Arabidopsis thaliana: one gene and its partners. The protein of the gene in region 3 interacts with the protein of the main gene of each other region in a biochemical or structural test. Each region holds a gene or a part of one and is shown on either strand. Other genes may lie near its edges. The genes, in order: BAK1, FLS2 and PUB12.

Evidence for each region.
Region 1: of the proteins of PUB12 (region 3) and BAK1, one has a biochemical effect on the other in vitro, tested with the Arabidopsis thaliana proteins (one study listed by BioGRID).
Region 2: of the proteins of PUB12 (region 3) and FLS2, one has a biochemical effect on the other in vitro, tested with the Arabidopsis thaliana proteins (one study listed by BioGRID).

What each region holds. Positions count from the first base shown.
Region 1 is NC_003075.7:16,085,413-16,092,667, reverse strand, and holds BAK1 (BRI1-associated receptor kinase), read left to right. Parts: upstream 1-1,890; 5' UTR 1,891-2,379; coding exon 2,380-2,464; intron 2,465-2,733; coding exon 2,734-2,866; intron 2,867-2,948; coding exon 2,949-3,020; intron 3,021-3,189; coding exon 3,190-3,333; intron 3,334-3,460; coding exon 3,461-3,601; intron 3,602-4,052; coding exon 4,053-4,124; intron 4,125-4,230; coding exon 4,231-4,302; intron 4,303-4,377; coding exon 4,378-4,454; intron 4,455-4,566; coding exon 4,567-4,698; intron 4,699-4,775; coding exon 4,776-5,117; intron 5,118-5,214; coding exon 5,215-5,609; intron 5,610-5,690; coding exon 5,691-6,014; 3' UTR 6,015-6,357; downstream 6,358-7,255. Other genes in the region: AT4G33440 (Pectin lyase-like superfamily protein), read right to left, coding at 226-648; AT4G33420 (Peroxidase superfamily protein), read right to left, coding at 6,563-6,942, 7,032-7,194.
Region 2 is NC_003076.8:18,789,912-18,796,962, forward strand, and holds FLS2 (Leucine-rich receptor-like protein kinase family protein), read left to right. Parts: upstream 1-1,663; 5' UTR 1,664-1,890; coding exon 1,891-5,029; intron 5,030-5,113; coding exon 5,114-5,496; 3' UTR 5,497-5,997; downstream 5,998-7,051. Other genes in the region: RWA1 (O-acetyltransferase family protein), read right to left, coding at 6,450-6,605, 6,688-6,784, 6,852-6,908, 7,000-7,051.
Region 3 is NC_003071.7:12,367,364-12,372,327, reverse strand, and holds PUB12 (armadillo/beta-catenin repeat protein), read left to right. Parts: upstream 1-1,907; 5' UTR 1,908-1,939; coding exon 1,940-1,993; intron 1,994-2,076; coding exon 2,077-2,193; intron 2,194-2,276; coding exon 2,277-2,726; intron 2,727-2,812; coding exon 2,813-3,940; 3' UTR 3,941-4,108; downstream 4,109-4,964. Other genes in the region: AT2G28815 (50S ribosomal protein L16), read left to right, coding at 4,264-4,452, 4,574-4,699, 4,767-4,964. UniProt on the Arabidopsis thaliana protein: Functions as an E3 ubiquitin ligase.

The DNA of each region.
Region 1 (7,255 bases), on a different chromosome or scaffold from region 3:
CACTGACCGTGATTAGCGAAATGAATATAGTGTTTACCAACAAAACTTTATGAACCCACAAATCAAAAAGCAATCACAAACCCAAATTTTGGATTCTCACAGAGCAATCAACAACTAATTGAATTCTCTTAATACTACTACTGTTCAGAACCAATCAACAACAAACAAAGCAAAAAAAAAGTAAACTTTATCAATGTGTTAAAGAATTCAAAACTTTGATATAACCTTGGATCCCAAAATGAGAGCGCCGCGTTCGAGAAAGAGCGTGAAATTGCTGGTGAGGTTGAAGCTTCCAGAAAGCCACGTGCCCTCCGGGACATTGAGCTGGGCCCCACCCTCCGCCGCAAAACCTTCAAGGTGCCTTACGGCGCGGCGGAAAGCGGCCGTGTTCGACGTCTTTCCGTCTCCAACACCGCCGAAATCGGTAATCGACATAACGATCCGGTTAGGGAACGGGTCGTGATTGAAAAACCCGGAGCAGGTAACAGGGTCGTCATATTGAGAAGTCGGGATCCAGAGAGGGAGAAAAGAATTGGAAGAGATTTGGAGAGAGAGAATCGCTAAGACGGTGAAAACAAGGAGAAGAAACGCCCACGAAGGTCTTGTAATGGCACTCAATACTGTGGTCGGATTCTTCTCCGGTTCCATTGTTTTTTGGAAACAGAGAGAAAACTCAAAAGCCCATGAAGCAAGCTCTGAGATAAAATTACAAACAGAAGAATGCTAAAGTGGGACTTTTAGATGGTTGGAGAGAATTATGCATGTGTGTGGCAATGATTAGCGTAGTGTGGTGGTGACAACAAACAAAGGTGGAGGAAGATAGAAAGTCGATAGATACCTTACCTCGAAAATTCGTCTCTCTCTTTGATTATTTTTGTATATATAAATAGAAAAAAGTAGTAGTAAATAAGAAAATTGGATACAGACACAGATATGTCGTGAAAAGGGCACTAAAATATTGGATGGTGCATGTGAATCGTCAAAAAGTGGCAAGGAGAAAGTGAAAGTCTTCACGAATTATATTTTGGTTTATATATAAAAGAAGAAGAAAGAAGAAGAAAGAAGAAGAAAGAAGATGGATGATACACAATCGGTCACGGACTCACGGGTAGGAAGGATTGTGAGGCGTTACAATCTCGTCAGACTTCCAAGTCTTAATCTGATGGGCCTTTAAATAGCCTACTGTACTGAGTTGTTTGTTGTGTTTTTGTTTTGTTTTTTAATGCCAAACTAAGGTATATGTCCGTATTTTATTGCTGGCAACATATACTCTGTCCGTTTGTGTTTTTTGTTTTTTATTTCATTTTTCCTCAAAATTACTTTTGTTCTTTTAAAAATATTAAATGGCATAAATAGTTAAACTATCAACCAGTAAATTATATATGATACAATAATGTTTTTTGTTTTGTTTAATTCATTGGACCAGATGGATTATTCAGCTTACATTTTTCAATATTGAATTGTAATTTTTTAGAGCTATAATCTTTAAAAAAGAATAAAAAAATCAAAAAAGCTTTTGCTCATCTTTGGAATAAACGAACTTGCTATTAAGACCAAGCCCAATAAACAATAAAAGCCCGAAAAAATAGAGCTGGGCCGGTAATTAGGATTATGATGATGGTATATAACTCACTATCAACTATCATGAGTTCATGACCATCATGGTTTATATCTAATGTCATATGATGGATGATGATAAGGTGGGCGAACATAACAAACATGATTCGGAATGAAGTCGTGCGTCTTTGACTTTGACTAGCTCTAAAAAAGCTTTGAAAATGCTCGTCCACGTCATCATCCTCTTTGTCGTTTTCTCAATCTTAAATGTCATTTTTTTAATATAGTTTTCACAGTACAACAACTCAACCCAGTAAAATCCCTTCTTTAAGCAAAGAAAATAATTAAAATTCGTCTTCCTTCCTTGCTCTCGGCGATAACTTGGTTTCTCTCCTCTCTCTCATCTCTCTTTGTTTCGACCCTTTTTTAGTATATTTCCAGGAAATATCTTCTTCCTCCTTTCGTTTTCTCTATCTCAGTTTTCTCTCTTCTCAGCATTAAGTAGTCAACGGTCAGCGATCTCGGCGTTCCTTCTAATCGGAAAAGTCTAGCTTCAGTTTCTTTTTTTTTTGCTTTTTTGGTTTCCGCGATTAATCGATTTGGGTATTTTGATTTTCTCTTCAAATTAAGTCAACGGGTGGATACGCGTTGAGAGGGCTTTTCTCGTATTCTGCTTCTAATTTCATCATCTTGGTATTACCTTGTGTGGGTGGTAGCTTAATCGAAGGATTCGAGATCCCTTTTATCAGGGGTTTTAACAATGATGGATTTTCTCTGATGAGGGATAGTTCTAGGGTTTGTTTTTAATCTCTTGAGGATAAAATGGAACGAAGATTAATGATCCCTTGCTTCTTTTGGTTGATTCTCGTTTTGGATTTGGTTCTCAGAGTCTCGGGCAACGCCGAAGGTTTCCCCTTTCTCTCTCATTCTCTTTCAATTTTTCATTCTTTCCAATTAAATTAGTTTCCCTTGTTGAGTATTTTGATTAGTATAGGCTTATGAGAGCTTGTTCTCACCTAAAGAAGGCATTTTTAACTTATCTGTTACTTGTTTTGCTGTATTGACTTGAGTTATATTTGGGTTACATCTGTTTCGACTGATTCCAGTGATTATGTATCCTCGTGACACTTGATGATTGCAAAGTTTGATTTTTTCTTCTTCTTTGGTTAATTGTAGGTGATGCTCTAAGTGCACTGAAAAACAGTTTAGCCGACCCTAATAAGGTGCTTCAAAGTTGGGATGCTACTCTTGTTACTCCATGTACATGGTTTCATGTTACTTGCAATAGCGACAATAGTGTTACACGTGTGTAAGTTTCTTTCTATATCTAGCCAAGATGATTCGGATTTTCGCATCTACTGAGAATTTACTTGAACTTCATTTTTGCTCAGTGACCTTGGGAATGCAAATCTATCTGGACAGCTCGTAATGCAACTTGGTCAGCTTCCAAACTTGCAGTACTTGTAAGTCATCTTTTCTTTAAAAGGCCGTCTTTTAACTTTTGGTGTATGTGGGATGTTAAAAATGTTACAATGTTCCAAATAACTGCATAATTTTGCATTATCATAGATTATTAGTTATATATCTTTCCGATCTTATGGTGAAATTAATATTAAAGAATGGTAATGACAGGGAGCTTTATAGCAATAACATTACTGGGACAATCCCAGAACAGCTTGGAAATCTGACGGAATTGGTGAGCTTGGATCTTTACTTGAACAATTTAAGCGGGCCTATTCCATCAACTCTCGGCCGACTTAAGAAACTCCGTTTCTTGTATGCACCATATTCTACTCTCTTCTTTTAATACGTTTTTAATAAGCAGCCTAATTATTGTCTTTAGTTTCCTTGATCGTGTTTGTCTTCCTGTAAAAGCTATTCGTGCAACGTGTTACATTTGTAGGAGTCAGAAAGTAGTGTCGCCAAATAGATGCTACGTTATTTTACTAGATGAAAAGGTGTTCTCTTGGAGACTAGGATGTTGTATAATATGGTCTATTTTAATTATGAGCTTTCGTAAAAGGAATCAGAACTCTATCCTTGTGTTCGCTTAATTTTACTGGAACAACACAAAGTTCCGAATTCAGGTGACTGTCTTTTTGGTTGTTCTCGTGTGTCACCTTTGTGATCTTCAATGGTAGTTATTGACTCGCTTATTTTGTATGAAATCGATTTGGTTCTGGAAGAATGAAATTCTATCAAAGATAACAATATTCTTCTGCCTTAGAATTTAAGCGCTAAACCCTATTGTTACTTATTAATTTGTGAGTGCTCTGTAAATCTAGAGGGTGAACGCATCTAAAGTAGTAAGTCGCGCTAATTAGGAAAATATACTTGATTTTTCAATCAGCTTCATATCTGTTGGATGAGATTTTAGAACAACCCCTACTTTTGAAAGTCTTTTAAAGTTTGTATTTTTGCTCTCACTATAAACTCATTACTGGTTAATGTATTTCCACTTATTCATGACATTCTCTTTTTGTATTGGTGGTTAGGCGTCTTAATAACAATAGCTTATCTGGAGAAATTCCAAGGTCTTTGACTGCTGTCCTGACGCTACAAGTTCTGTGAGTGTAACTTTATCTCTCTCAAATTCCTCTGTGTTCATGTTTCTGATTATTGTTTGGCCGATCTTGGCATTAAGTCAGAAAATGATATCATCTTATAATGCAGGGATCTCTCAAACAATCCTCTCACCGGAGATATTCCTGTTAATGGTTCCTTTTCACTTTTCACTCCAATCAGGTTTTGCATCCTGCTCCTAGTTTAAATCTTGGTGGAGAGGTCAGAATGTTTGATTAATTATTTGAAATTTTGCAGTTTTGCCAACACCAAGTTGACTCCCCTTCCTGCATCTCCACCGCCTCCTATCTCTCCTACACCGCCATCACCTGCAGGTTTTTTTTTGTATATGTCTTTGTCTTTGAAATGTTATTCAACTGAATAAGTAAACATTTTAAGCAGATCCATTAAGTATTAAGAAAGAGATTGTTCATTTCATTCTTGCAGGGAGTAATAGAATTACTGGAGCGATTGCGGGAGGAGTTGCTGCAGGTGCTGCACTTCTATTTGCTGTTCCGGCCATTGCACTAGCTTGGTGGCGAAGGAAAAAGCCGCAGGACCACTTCTTTGATGTACCAGGTTAGCTAAACTTGCTTTACCTGTTTCCTCATTAACACTTCTCTTGCTGATTTTTTTTTATTACCGTCTTTTTGCAGCTGAAGAGGACCCAGAAGTTCATTTAGGACAACTGAAGAGGTTTTCATTGCGTGAACTACAAGTTGCTTCGGATAATTTTAGCAACAAGAACATATTGGGTAGAGGTGGTTTTGGTAAAGTTTATAAAGGACGGTTAGCTGATGGTACTTTAGTGGCCGTTAAAAGGCTAAAAGAGGAGCGCACCCAAGGTGGCGAACTGCAGTTCCAGACAGAGGTTGAGATGATTAGTATGGCGGTTCACAGAAACTTGCTTCGGCTTCGTGGATTTTGCATGACTCCAACCGAAAGATTGCTTGTTTATCCCTACATGGCTAATGGAAGTGTTGCCTCCTGTTTAAGAGGTATCTCTCATCTTGTGCCTTTTTCTTTGACTGCAATATTTCCGTCCAATGGTTGCCTTTTTATCCGTAGTAATCTTATATTTTATTTTCTCCTTAGAACGTCCCGAGTCCCAGCCACCACTTGATTGGCCAAAGAGACAGCGTATTGCGTTGGGATCTGCAAGAGGGCTTGCGTATTTACATGATCATTGCGACCCAAAGATTATTCATCGAGATGTGAAAGCTGCAAATATTTTGTTGGATGAAGAGTTTGAAGCCGTGGTTGGGGATTTTGGACTTGCAAAACTCATGGACTACAAAGACACACATGTGACAACCGCAGTGCGTGGGACAATTGGTCATATAGCCCCTGAGTACCTTTCCACTGGAAAATCATCAGAGAAAACCGATGTCTTTGGGTATGGAGTCATGCTTCTTGAGCTTATCACTGGACAAAGGGCTTTTGATCTTGCTCGCCTCGCGAATGATGATGATGTCATGTTACTAGACTGGGTATATACATATATGAGTTTCCCACTTGTATAGTTCATTATCTGTGTTACCTCTATTTGTGTTAATTATTCATTTCGACAGGTGAAAGGGTTGTTAAAAGAGAAGAAATTGGAAGCACTAGTAGATGTTGATCTTCAGGGTAATTACAAAGACGAAGAAGTGGAGCAGCTAATCCAAGTGGCTTTACTCTGCACTCAGAGTTCACCAATGGAAAGACCCAAAATGTCTGAAGTTGTAAGAATGCTTGAAGGAGATGGTTTAGCTGAGAGATGGGAAGAGTGGCAAAAGGAGGAAATGTTCAGACAAGATTTCAACTACCCAACCCACCATCCAGCCGTGTCTGGCTGGATCATTGGCGATTCCACTTCCCAGATCGAAAACGAATACCCCTCGGGTCCAAGATAAGATTCGAAACACGAATGTTTTTTCTGTATTTTGTTTTTCTCTGTATTTATTGAGGGTTTTAGCTTCTGCTGCTCCATATTATTGGTTCTTAAGTGAATACATGAGGATCAGATTGGGTTTGTAAGTGTTATATGATGAAAAAGGATTTGAATGTTGTTGAAAGCTAAAACCCAAACATGTCTTAAGCTCACCACTTGAGGATTGTTGCGCACTTGATTCACAAATATGTATCCCATCAATTATTCTTTTTCACCGTGCGTCAGGTTTCTTTTCTTACCGGTTTCTGTGTTATCATGTGATTTCTAGATCCGGAGATTGTTCAGAAGAAAAGGAGACTTTTGCCTTTAAATAGCAATTGGACAAGAAAATGCAACCAAAGTATATTACTTTTTGATGGATATCTGAACCACACAAGCAATAAGTATACAACTGCATATTACGAGAGTACACAATTTTTACATAGTAGCCTAGAAGATTCATGATTCTTCATATAACAAGAGTAGAGAACTTATTATAAATACAAAAATCGTAAGTAGATGTGGTCTAGCCTAATTAATACTCCGACAATTTTGACGGACTTCACCTTGAGAGCCAAGTTTAACATCAAGATTGCTCATCTTGCGCATGGCCTGTTGGAAATCAAAGAAGAACTTGGCTTGGTTAAGTGCATAGCCGTTAACAAGATTCCTGGTCCTTGGTGTGTTGAATAAAGTTTGGTCTGAAAAGAGGACTCCTGATTTCATCTGAAGCGCATTGAAGTAAGCATTGTCGAAATCGTTGCGCGTAGCATCAAAGGGTTGCTCTGCATTGTCACCCGCGCTGCATGTTTTAGAGAGAGTGTTTGCAAAAGTCGAGTCTAATGAAGAGTCTGGGACGGTAAGTCTAGCCTTGAAGGAGGAGCATCGTGCAACTCCTAGGGTATGTGCTCCTATATATATATCCCCACAAATTATTAAGTTAAAACCAAATTAGATTATCACACACAATACACATATATTAGTTCTTTAAAGAACTGACCAGAGAGAGCAACAACATCTTGTGGAGTGAAACCACGTTGGCCAAAAGTTTGAATGAGTTGAGAGGCATTAAGAAAAGGTGAAGGTAGATTTCTTGTATCTTCTATCTTTGATCTTTTACCATCAAACCTTCCTTTCGGTATGTCATAATATGGACCACCAGCCTAACAATTTCAATTACTAATTATGTTAAGTACACTAATTAATCATATTTACTATAATCAC
Region 2 (7,051 bases), on a different chromosome or scaffold from region 3:
ATTGAGCAATGTAACAGTTCTGTGTGAAGAAACAAGGAATCACTTACTTCTACATTGTCTCTTTACAAAGGAAATTTGGCACATGATAATGCTTCGGTTTGGGCAATCTCCTTATATCTTTGCAGACTTGTCTATTACCATAGGTAATCATATAAAAGTTATTATATATGAACAATGTTCCTATGGTAATAGAAATTCACATTTTATTAAAAAAACTGATACGAATAATTCAAAGAAATAAAATAACTTTTATATGATTGTCCATAAGATATAGTCAAAACGCAAAAGACTTTGCTCTAAGAAATATTAAAAAGAAAAACAACAAGACGAGGATTATTTCTTTTCAATAATTAAAACATTAGTATAAATACAATCACATGCTTAATGTAATAATGTGACAGTTTGGCCGAGTGGTCTAAGGCGCCAGATTTAGGCTCTGGTCCGAAAGGGCGTGGGTTCAAATCCCACAGCTGTCAATTTGTTTTTTTCTTTGACTCCTTTGTTCATCTTTATTTTAAAATCAATATAAACCCTTTTCGGACATTCTAAATATTTTGACCCAACCTAATGATATTCATTATTTGTCTAACGGGTCAACTTTCAAGTCTTCAAGTAAACATGATATGGAATTATATGGGTCAACTCCAAGTAAGAACAGTGCATGCATCTTGAAGACAAAATTGATTTTTTTTTTTGTTTTTAATTAATGGAAATTTTGAAATACTAATGGGTCAAGATGAGGTTGTCCAAATCAACTGATATCATATATGACCAGATTCCTCAATAGTCATTAGTCAATACAAAATCCATAATCTTTTTTAAAAATATAATCTTTTTATTTTAAATCGCCTATTTTTTTCCATTCATTTGTCCAATGTGAAAAGCCATAAATCATATATTAAGAAGTTGTGAATTGTGATCATAGGAGTAATATTTCTATCTGAACAAAAATTGAATTTTGTTTTGCTTTTTGTTGAAAGATAAATAAAATGTTTGGCAGATTGTTTGTACAGAACACAACTTGTTGATAAAACAAATTCCATCAAGACAGCTAATGAGCTTTTGATAGTCAGAGCTTTGAAGACGTGTTAATGAATTAAACTGATTAGACCTAAAACCAAATATTTAGAAAGAAAAAAATATGATAATTGTTATGTTATTTAATCAATAGTCAAATACTATGTTGAGTACCAATCATTTCAGTTTCAACGATTGCTACTCTTTTGACCAATAACAAAAAGGTTTTTATTTTTCATTTCTCAAACTCCATTTTTGTTTGTTTTTAGCATAAAAACAGCTAGAATGTGAGTTTCATATGTATTATATACTATAAGAAATCATATAAATTAACGACTAGAACATATTGTTTTCATTCTAGTGGTATATCTGAGTTTGACTAGAACGTTTGGAGGCAGATTAAAGTGATTTCGCCTTGTCAAAACTACTTTGTATATGTTATCAATCAATCGCTCAAAACTAAATCGGAAAAAAACTACATAAATAAGATATGGAAAATGATACTAACACAAACTAGTAAGTAAGTAGTCACTACATATTCTGGTCCCATGAATATGGCTTACATAGTACATACATTGTGAGATTAAATGAATATGATATATAATACAAGCATATAAGCATGTGCATGACTATGAAGTGGGAATACATTTAGTGCCTTTATATGCAACTTGACAGAATTACCAATTATGTGAATAGTGAAACTTATATTGCGTCTTGGCCTTTTCACATCCGTGACATGATCCCTCAAATCTATATCTTCTTGCGGCATATGCTTATATATAAACATATGACTTCGTCTATAGATTTATATCCAGATAATTAATTCTCTCATAATATCTTCTCCACAATTTCAACTCTTCTAAAGTCTAAACCATGAAGTTACTCTCAAAGACCTTTTTGATATTAACTCTCACCTTCTTCTTCTTTGGCATTGCACTAGCGAAACAGAGCTTTGAACCAGAGATCGAAGCTTTGAAATCCTTCAAGAATGGTATTTCCAACGACCCTTTAGGAGTATTATCAGATTGGACCATCATCGGTTCGTTACGACACTGTAATTGGACCGGAATCACCTGCGATAGTACCGGACATGTAGTCTCGGTTTCCTTGCTGGAGAAGCAACTTGAAGGTGTTCTGTCTCCAGCCATAGCGAATCTCACCTATCTCCAGGTTCTTGATCTCACTTCAAATAGTTTTACCGGCAAAATACCGGCTGAAATAGGAAAGTTAACCGAGCTTAACCAGCTTATTCTGTACCTAAACTATTTCTCTGGTTCGATTCCTTCTGGAATCTGGGAGCTTAAGAATATTTTCTATCTTGATCTTAGAAATAATTTGTTGTCCGGTGATGTTCCTGAGGAAATCTGCAAAACCAGTTCTTTGGTATTGATTGGGTTTGATTACAACAACTTAACCGGGAAAATACCAGAATGCTTAGGAGATTTGGTTCATCTCCAAATGTTTGTAGCAGCTGGTAACCATTTAACTGGTTCGATTCCGGTATCAATTGGTACTCTGGCTAATTTAACGGATTTAGACCTGAGTGGTAACCAGTTAACCGGAAAAATACCGAGAGATTTTGGAAATCTCTTGAACTTACAGTCTCTCGTTTTAACTGAAAACTTGTTGGAAGGAGATATACCAGCTGAGATCGGAAACTGCTCGAGCTTGGTCCAACTTGAGCTTTACGATAACCAGTTAACCGGGAAAATACCAGCTGAATTAGGGAATTTGGTTCAGCTGCAAGCACTCCGGATATACAAGAACAAACTTACTTCTTCAATTCCATCTTCATTGTTCCGGTTAACTCAGTTAACCCATTTGGGGTTATCAGAAAACCATTTGGTTGGACCGATATCAGAAGAAATCGGTTTTCTTGAGTCACTTGAAGTCCTCACACTTCATTCCAACAACTTCACAGGAGAGTTTCCACAGTCCATCACAAACTTGAGGAACTTGACAGTCCTAACGGTGGGGTTCAATAATATTTCCGGTGAGCTCCCGGCGGATCTAGGGCTTCTTACAAACCTTCGGAACCTTTCAGCGCACGACAATCTTCTTACCGGACCAATACCTTCCAGCATAAGTAACTGCACCGGTCTTAAACTCCTGGACCTGTCTCACAACCAAATGACTGGCGAGATCCCGCGGGGTTTCGGAAGGATGAATCTTACGTTCATTTCTATTGGGAGGAATCATTTCACCGGTGAAATTCCAGATGATATCTTCAACTGTTCAAACTTGGAAACTCTTAGTGTGGCAGATAACAACTTAACAGGAACTCTCAAGCCATTAATTGGGAAGCTTCAAAAACTCAGGATTTTGCAAGTTTCATATAACTCTCTCACTGGACCGATTCCTCGAGAAATCGGGAATCTGAAAGATTTGAATATCTTGTACCTTCACTCTAATGGTTTCACAGGGAGAATCCCGAGAGAGATGTCGAATCTCACTCTCCTCCAGGGGCTAAGGATGTATTCAAATGATCTTGAAGGTCCAATTCCTGAAGAAATGTTTGATATGAAGCTACTCTCAGTTCTTGATCTTTCCAACAACAAATTCTCAGGTCAAATTCCTGCCTTGTTCTCCAAGCTTGAATCGCTTACCTACTTGAGTCTTCAAGGAAACAAATTCAACGGGTCTATCCCTGCAAGCCTTAAGTCGCTTTCGCTTCTCAACACATTCGATATCTCCGACAATCTTCTCACTGGAACCATCCCTGGAGAGCTGTTAGCTTCTTTGAAAAACATGCAGCTTTACCTCAACTTCTCAAACAACTTGTTGACTGGAACCATCCCAAAGGAGCTTGGAAAGCTTGAAATGGTTCAAGAAATCGACCTTTCAAACAATCTCTTTTCTGGGTCTATTCCAAGATCTTTACAGGCCTGCAAAAATGTGTTCACACTGGATTTTTCGCAGAACAATCTCTCGGGTCATATACCAGATGAAGTCTTCCAAGGCATGGATATGATCATAAGCTTGAACCTTTCAAGGAACAGTTTCTCTGGAGAAATCCCTCAGAGCTTCGGGAACATGACGCATTTGGTCTCCTTGGATCTCTCTAGTAACAATCTCACTGGTGAAATTCCAGAGAGTCTCGCCAATCTTTCGACTCTGAAACATCTCAAACTAGCTTCAAACAACCTCAAAGGCCATGTTCCTGAATCCGGGGTGTTCAAAAACATCAACGCCTCTGATCTAATGGGAAACACAGATCTCTGTGGTAGCAAGAAGCCTCTCAAGCCATGTACGATCAAGCAGAAGTCGAGCCACTTCTCGAAGAGAACCAGAGTCATCCTGATTATTCTTGGATCAGCCGCGGCTCTTCTTCTTGTCCTGCTTCTTGTTCTGATTCTAACCTGTTGCAAGAAAAAAGAAAAAAAGATTGAAAATTCATCAGAGTCCTCATTACCGGATTTGGATTCAGCTCTGAAACTGAAGAGATTTGAACCAAAAGAGTTGGAGCAAGCAACAGATTCATTCAACAGTGCCAACATCATTGGCTCAAGCAGCTTAAGCACAGTGTACAAAGGTCAGCTAGAAGATGGGACAGTGATTGCAGTAAAAGTATTGAATCTAAAGGAATTCTCTGCAGAATCAGACAAGTGGTTCTACACAGAAGCTAAAACATTGAGCCAACTAAAACATCGAAACCTGGTGAAGATCTTAGGGTTTGCGTGGGAAAGCGGCAAAACGAAAGCTTTAGTGCTTCCATTTATGGAGAATGGAAACTTGGAGGACACCATTCACGGCTCTGCAGCACCGATTGGGTCGCTTTTAGAAAAAATCGATCTTTGTGTTCATATCGCAAGCGGAATCGATTATCTTCATTCTGGATATGGTTTTCCCATCGTTCATTGTGATCTGAAGCCAGCTAATATACTCCTTGACAGTGACCGCGTTGCTCACGTAAGCGATTTTGGAACTGCTCGGATTCTAGGTTTCCGCGAAGATGGAAGCACCACAGCTTCAACATCAGCCTTCGAGGGTACAATTGGATACTTAGCTCCAGGTAAATTACTCACAACACTTAATTTTCAAAACCCTAATTATGCCATCGACTTACTTGAAATACACTCTTATTTTTCATGAACAGAGTTTGCTTATATGAGGAAAGTGACAACAAAAGCCGATGTATTCAGCTTCGGGATCATAATGATGGAGCTGATGACGAAACAGAGACCAACTTCGTTGAATGATGAAGATTCACAAGACATGACTTTGCGCCAATTGGTGGAGAAATCGATTGGAAATGGAAGAAAAGGGATGGTTAGGGTTCTTGATATGGAACTCGGGGACTCTATTGTTTCTCTGAAACAGGAAGAGGCTATTGAAGACTTTCTGAAGCTTTGTTTGTTCTGTACAAGCTCTAGACCTGAAGATCGACCTGATATGAACGAGATTCTTACACATCTGATGAAACTTAGAGGCAAAGCGAATTCATTTCGAGAAGATCGTAACGAGGATCGAGAAGTTTAGCAGCAAAGCTTTTTTGATGACATTTTTTCGACTTTGCCAAACTCTGTTACGAAGGTTGAATACTTTGGACGTAAAACGTTCTGATTTTGCTTTTCGTTATGTATTTCTGTTTTATATAAGGTTGAAATTTGGTTTTGATGAACTTTTTCATATACAAATGCATTAGGCTACACATGGATACTATAGTTTCTTATTGCAGGCAGATCAGGAATAAGGTTCGTCAAGTTTTTGTCATCATGATGGAGATGACGTTTGTCCCTTCCATTTAATCATGAAACAATACCACTGCTAGTATCGGACAATAGGCAATCTCACGACGGTTATCGAGAACACAGAAGATGACTCAAAGATCAATGCCACACAAGACAATTGTGTAGACTTGCCAAGTAATAGCTGTGAAAACTAGAGTCATTACATTTTCATCTCCCCGGGTAATGTTTTCCATTCTCGGCTAGCGAACCGCAGAAATTGCAAGACTAGACTGATAGAAAACCATGTCAGTGACTGTTGAGAATGAATTCTTCTTTAAAACTTTGCAATTTCATATAATTCTTTAACATCACTATACATTTTTGGACGAACTACATATTGTTTGCTTAATCCTTACAAAACAAAATCTAAAGAATATAGCACAAAAAATTGAAAACTTTAAATCGGAGACAATTACTTCGCTTTTGTATGGCAATAGAGAAAAGTAGTTGAGCGATGTTGGTCTATGCGGTTCTTGGTTCTGCCTTTGGTGAACGTCCTTTGAAGCTGAATGTGCACAAGAAAATGATCAACAAAACTAACTTGTCTTTTTACTTATTTTCCTTTGCTTTGATGCGACCACAATGAAGAAACACAAAGAACAAACACTTGTTTTTGCCTGTAAATGACAGAAATCAACAAAGTTTTCGTTAGATTTTTTATGAGTGGATGGCCAATGAGAATGATTTGGGGACTCACGGTTTCTAACGATGAATCTGAAGAAGAACGAATGAGAAGCAATAGAGTGGAAGAGCGATGGCAATCCCAGCTATGAAGTTAGAGAAGAGTCGCTTGTTGTCTTTTGTGGGTACGAAAACCGTCTTGAGTGTGTTGGTTAGTTCAAAGAGACGGTGAGATACCTGGCGAACAAGAACAAATAGAGATGTTTCAGAAAGCTTGCTAATAGAAAATACGGGGAGAGAAGAAGTTACGGTTTCTTACAAGGACGTATATAGCAGTTGTCAGCATGAAATTGAGCATAGGGTATCCCGGAATAATAGAGAGAAGCCATTTTGGTTGCCCGTCAGGCATGTTTGATCTGAAAATTGGTGTCTTTGATTTAACAAATACGCTTCCAGGAAAAGATTAAGTCACAGAAAACAAACCTTAGCCATATATGAAACTGGGAAATGTAAGTCTCTAAAGTGATCTTGCCAAGCCACCTGCGCAGAGAAATGTAAAGAGTTTTACATGGAAATGAGGCAAGCATATCAAACCAGGTTTTAGTTTAAATGTAAGTACGAGTTGACTCACGCAAAGAGAGTCAATGAGACACTTCGAAGCTGGTGGGTGAAATTCCGAAGGC
Region 3 (4,964 bases):
AGTGACATAAGATTCCAAAAGATTCTTCCAACTATATATAATATTTAAGAATCCACTTGAGAAAACACTCAAGTGTGGATGGATGTTATATCAGAATTATCTAATGACAAGAGAAATTTAATTGGATTTGAATGATACAGTTGAAATTAAATATCAGCCAGGTATAACTTTTCAAATATCTAACATAATTTATGTTATAAGAGAGATCCTAATTGTAGACGTATTATGAATATTCAAATAAGACATCTTGAAAATACTAATCTAAAATATAAAAGTAGTCTCCACCTAACATGAATAAAATAATGGTCAAAAAGATATAAGAGCTATGCTTGTCCAATGGGAAGCATGATTAAGATGTGATTAAGATAACTAATTAGATGTTTAATTGGTAAGTTGCTTTCATGGGTTTGCTTATACGCAATTAGGTGGCTCACAATGAGATGAGAAAATTTCCAAATTAGCTGACATTTTGATTAGAGTTTGATTAGTCATTTAATTAACGACTAATGCCGTAAAATATACTTGTGTTGTTGGAGTACTGGCGAACAAGATCACAAGTTTTTTTCTTTTTTTTTTTCTTTTTAAAAAAAGGCAAAACATAAGTATCACAAGTTCAAATCATAACTCCTTGGTCTATCATCAAATCATTCTCACAACTCACAAGTTTCTCACTTTTCTCAAAAATTGAACGAGCCCATTTAGTTATGGCCCATTGGGCTTTTTTCTAGCCTTTTATCTCGTTTTGATTGGAGCTAGGATAGTCAAACCGTCGTTTGTCAACAAGAAATGTGAACCCATATCTCTTTCTAAGGAATAGTGGGAATATCTCTTACTGCAAAATCCAATTATGTATAAGCAAACATGCATATATTTACAATTTTGTTATTTCATCTTTCTTTGATTTTGTTTGTTTTCTACGTTTAATAAATTTACCATCTTCATTTGACCACAGATGATTTTATGATGTCTTGTATATTATGCCCAAACAAATTTTCCCTCAATATTGATACCAAACTATTGAAATTTTGATAATAAGTTACAAATCAAACATTAAGTAGTACATTCATAATCATAAATCTTAATTTTTATTGATGTTTCTTTGTTTTCTCAAATTATCTCTGAGAATTGAGTAAGCCAAAGAGCAAAACATGTTATTATCTAAACTCGTATAAATATATAGTAGCAACACAAAGATACATAGTTGTGAATCTCCATGTTCATATAGTCCAAATATTTGAAATATACCATACAAATTAGCTTGCTATACGTTAAAATAAAATCTGAATGTTTCAAACACAAATAAACTAAGCTAAAATACTGTTTTTTTTTCTTCTTTGGGATTAGTCTGGCATTAACCACTTAACTAAAAACAATCACCAATTTTTTTCCAAATTTGTTTCTTTTTTTGGTATTTATTGTTTGACCAGTTGACTCATTTTTTGGTATTTCTTGTTTGACCAGTTGACTATTTTATTTTCTTTGGGTTGAAAAAATACAACAACCCAATCCGACCCGAAATTATCGCAATTGATAATGTTGCTGACTTAGCCTAACCGATCTGAGCCGGTTTATGACTCATGACTAATCCATGACTCCTTCGTCTTCGTCTTCACACAGTTGTAGCTTTCATGCCTGAGTCAAAAACCTCGTGACCAAAAAAAAAAAACTGATTACTAGAATAACAGTTCCCTCTGCGTGTTTCCTAAACCAATACAAAAAATGGCGAAATCAGAGAAACACAAATTAGCTCAAACCTTAATCGATTCAATAAACGAGATCGCTTCAATTTCCGATTCCGTTACACCGATGAAGAAGCACTGCGCTAACCTCTCCCGGCGATTGTCGCTTCTTCTTCCTATGTTGGAAGAGATCAGAGACAATCAGGAATCATCTTCGGAAGTAGTGAATGCTTTGTTATCTGTTAAGCAATCGCTTCTTCATGCTAAGGATTTGCTTTCTTTCGTTAGCCATGTTAGCAAAATTTACCTGGTGTGTGAGTATTTCGATTCTAAACATACTTAGATCTGAGTGTAGTTGAAATCGAAATCGAAATATGAATCTGATTGATTCCTGTAGGTGTTGGAGAGAGATCAAGTGATGGTGAAATTTCAGAAAGTGACTTCTCTATTGGAACAAGCTTTAAGTATAATCCCTTATGAGAATCTGGAAATTTCAGATGAACTTAAAGAACAGGTACTACTAAAACCATTATCTGCTCTGCTTTTGTTCTTGTTCATGAAACTTCAGCTTTTCAGATTCATTTCTGGTTGTTGTAGGTGGAGCTTGTTTTAGTTCAGTTAAGAAGATCGTTAGGAAAACGCGGTGGCGATGTGTATGATGATGAGTTGTATAAGGATGTTCTATCTCTTTATAGTGGTAGAGGTAGTGTAATGGAGTCTGATATGGTTAGGAGAGTGGCGGAGAAGCTTCAGTTGATGACTATAACTGACCTTACGCAAGAGTCATTGGCTTTACTTGACATGGTTAGTTCTAGTGGTGGTGATGATCCTGGTGAAAGTTTTGAGAAGATGTCTATGGTTCTTAAGAAGATTAAGGACTTTGTGCAAACTTATAATCCTAACTTGGATGATGCTCCATTGAGACTGAAATCATCGCTTCCGAAGTCGCGAGATGATGATCGAGATATGCTAATTCCGCCTGAAGAGTTCCGTTGTCCAATATCTCTAGAATTGATGACTGATCCAGTTATTGTTTCTTCAGGGCAGGTACTGTAAAAGCATTATTCTCCCTTTACTTGTCTTTTTAATTCATTTTCAATTTTTTTGATTGGTGTCGTTGAAATCCTGTGTAGACTTATGAACGTGAGTGCATTAAGAAGTGGCTTGAAGGAGGACACTTGACGTGTCCAAAGACGCAAGAAACGCTGACAAGCGATATCATGACACCAAACTATGTTCTAAGAAGCCTTATAGCTCAATGGTGTGAGTCCAATGGCATCGAACCTCCAAAGCGTCCCAACATATCTCAACCGAGTAGTAAGGCCTCATCTTCGTCGTCAGCCCCTGATGATGAACATAACAAGATTGAAGAACTTCTACTTAAGCTCACATCGCAACAGCCTGAAGACCGAAGATCTGCTGCAGGAGAAATCCGTCTTCTAGCAAAACAAAACAATCATAACCGAGTCGCCATTGCTGCCTCAGGCGCGATCCCTCTTCTGGTGAATCTCCTCACGATATCTAATGACTCTCGGACTCAAGAACACGCTGTGACATCGATTCTTAACCTCTCGATATGTCAAGAGAACAAAGGGAAGATTGTTTATTCATCTGGAGCAGTTCCAGGTATTGTTCATGTGCTTCAGAAAGGTAGCATGGAAGCTAGAGAAAACGCAGCAGCTACACTTTTCAGCCTCTCGGTTATAGACGAGAACAAAGTGACAATAGGTGCCGCAGGAGCGATCCCGCCTCTTGTGACCTTGCTGAGCGAAGGATCACAGAGAGGCAAAAAAGACGCGGCAACTGCTCTGTTTAATCTCTGCATATTTCAAGGAAACAAAGGAAAAGCTGTGAGAGCCGGTTTAGTTCCCGTGCTAATGAGGTTACTAACAGAACCCGAAAGCGGAATGGTTGATGAATCACTCTCGATATTAGCCATACTATCGAGTCATCCGGACGGGAAATCAGAGGTTGGAGCCGCTGATGCAGTTCCAGTTCTGGTAGATTTTATAAGAAGCGGGTCACCGCGGAACAAAGAAAACTCAGCTGCGGTATTAGTGCACTTGTGTTCATGGAATCAGCAACATTTGATTGAAGCTCAGAAATTAGGGATTATGGATCTTTTAATAGAAATGGCTGAGAATGGTACTGACAGAGGAAAACGCAAAGCGGCACAGTTACTTAACCGCTTTAGCCGTTTTAACGACCAGCAGAAACAACACTCTGGTTTAGGTTTGGAAGATCAAATCTCCCTAATCTGAGAGTTTAGTGTTTAAGGTTTGCTTATACATTTTCACATTTTGCTCACTTTTTTTTCTTTATTAACCAAAAACTCACAAAAAAAACCAAGATTTTGAAACCTGTAAATCACTTTTGTCTGAAATTCACATTTTCTCGGATCTTAATTAAAAGTCACAATTACAAGACTAGTGTTTCTTTTTTTTTTATTAGAGTTTTAAAGAAAAGAAATCTTAAATATATAATTTCCTAATTTGGCCGTGGAGAAGAAGGCAAAATAAATGTACAAAAAAATGCATTTATCTTCAGCTTGAGCAGCAAGTTCTATAGATCTGAGAGCAGCAAGATGCAGAGATTCATGTTTAGCCGCGTCGTGGAACATCAACGTCAGATAAGCCGAGGATTTCTCAGTCTTGTACCATCTCTATCTCCCACTGCTGTTCCTGCTATGTCTCGTTTCTTTCCGAAGATTACTGCTTCTGATTCCACTTCCTCGATTCCCTTTTTTACTCCAGACTTCATCAATCCCAAGAAGGTGAGTGGTTCGACAATTCATTACCCTATTATGATTCATTTGTCGGATTCAATATTACCCTGAGAAGAAATTTTATCAATCTCTTTGTATAATGTTCATAAGTGTGACAATGAATGTGCAGACTCTTGAAGAGTCCCTTAACAACTTAGAAGGCCTAACATGTAACCAAGCCGAAAGAGAGATGTATCTCTTTCCACAGATTAATCAACAACGCCTTCTCAACACCACTGGTTCTCGCTTCGGACAGGTAAAAAAAAAAATTCACCATATGAAAAACTTTTTAACGTGTGTTTTTACATTCACTTTTGGTTTAGGTTCTTGGAACTTGGCAGTTCAGATGCACAATTCTTCCGGCGAGAGTGAATCGTGTGAGAGAGGTCCACGAGACTTCCAACAACGAAAAGAAACAACAAAAACAAAAAAGTTCCGTCAACGAAAAGAAACCAAAAAAAAAAAAAAAGAGTTCCATCAGCGATATCCCAAGAAGAACAAAGTTTCAGAAACATCATCGA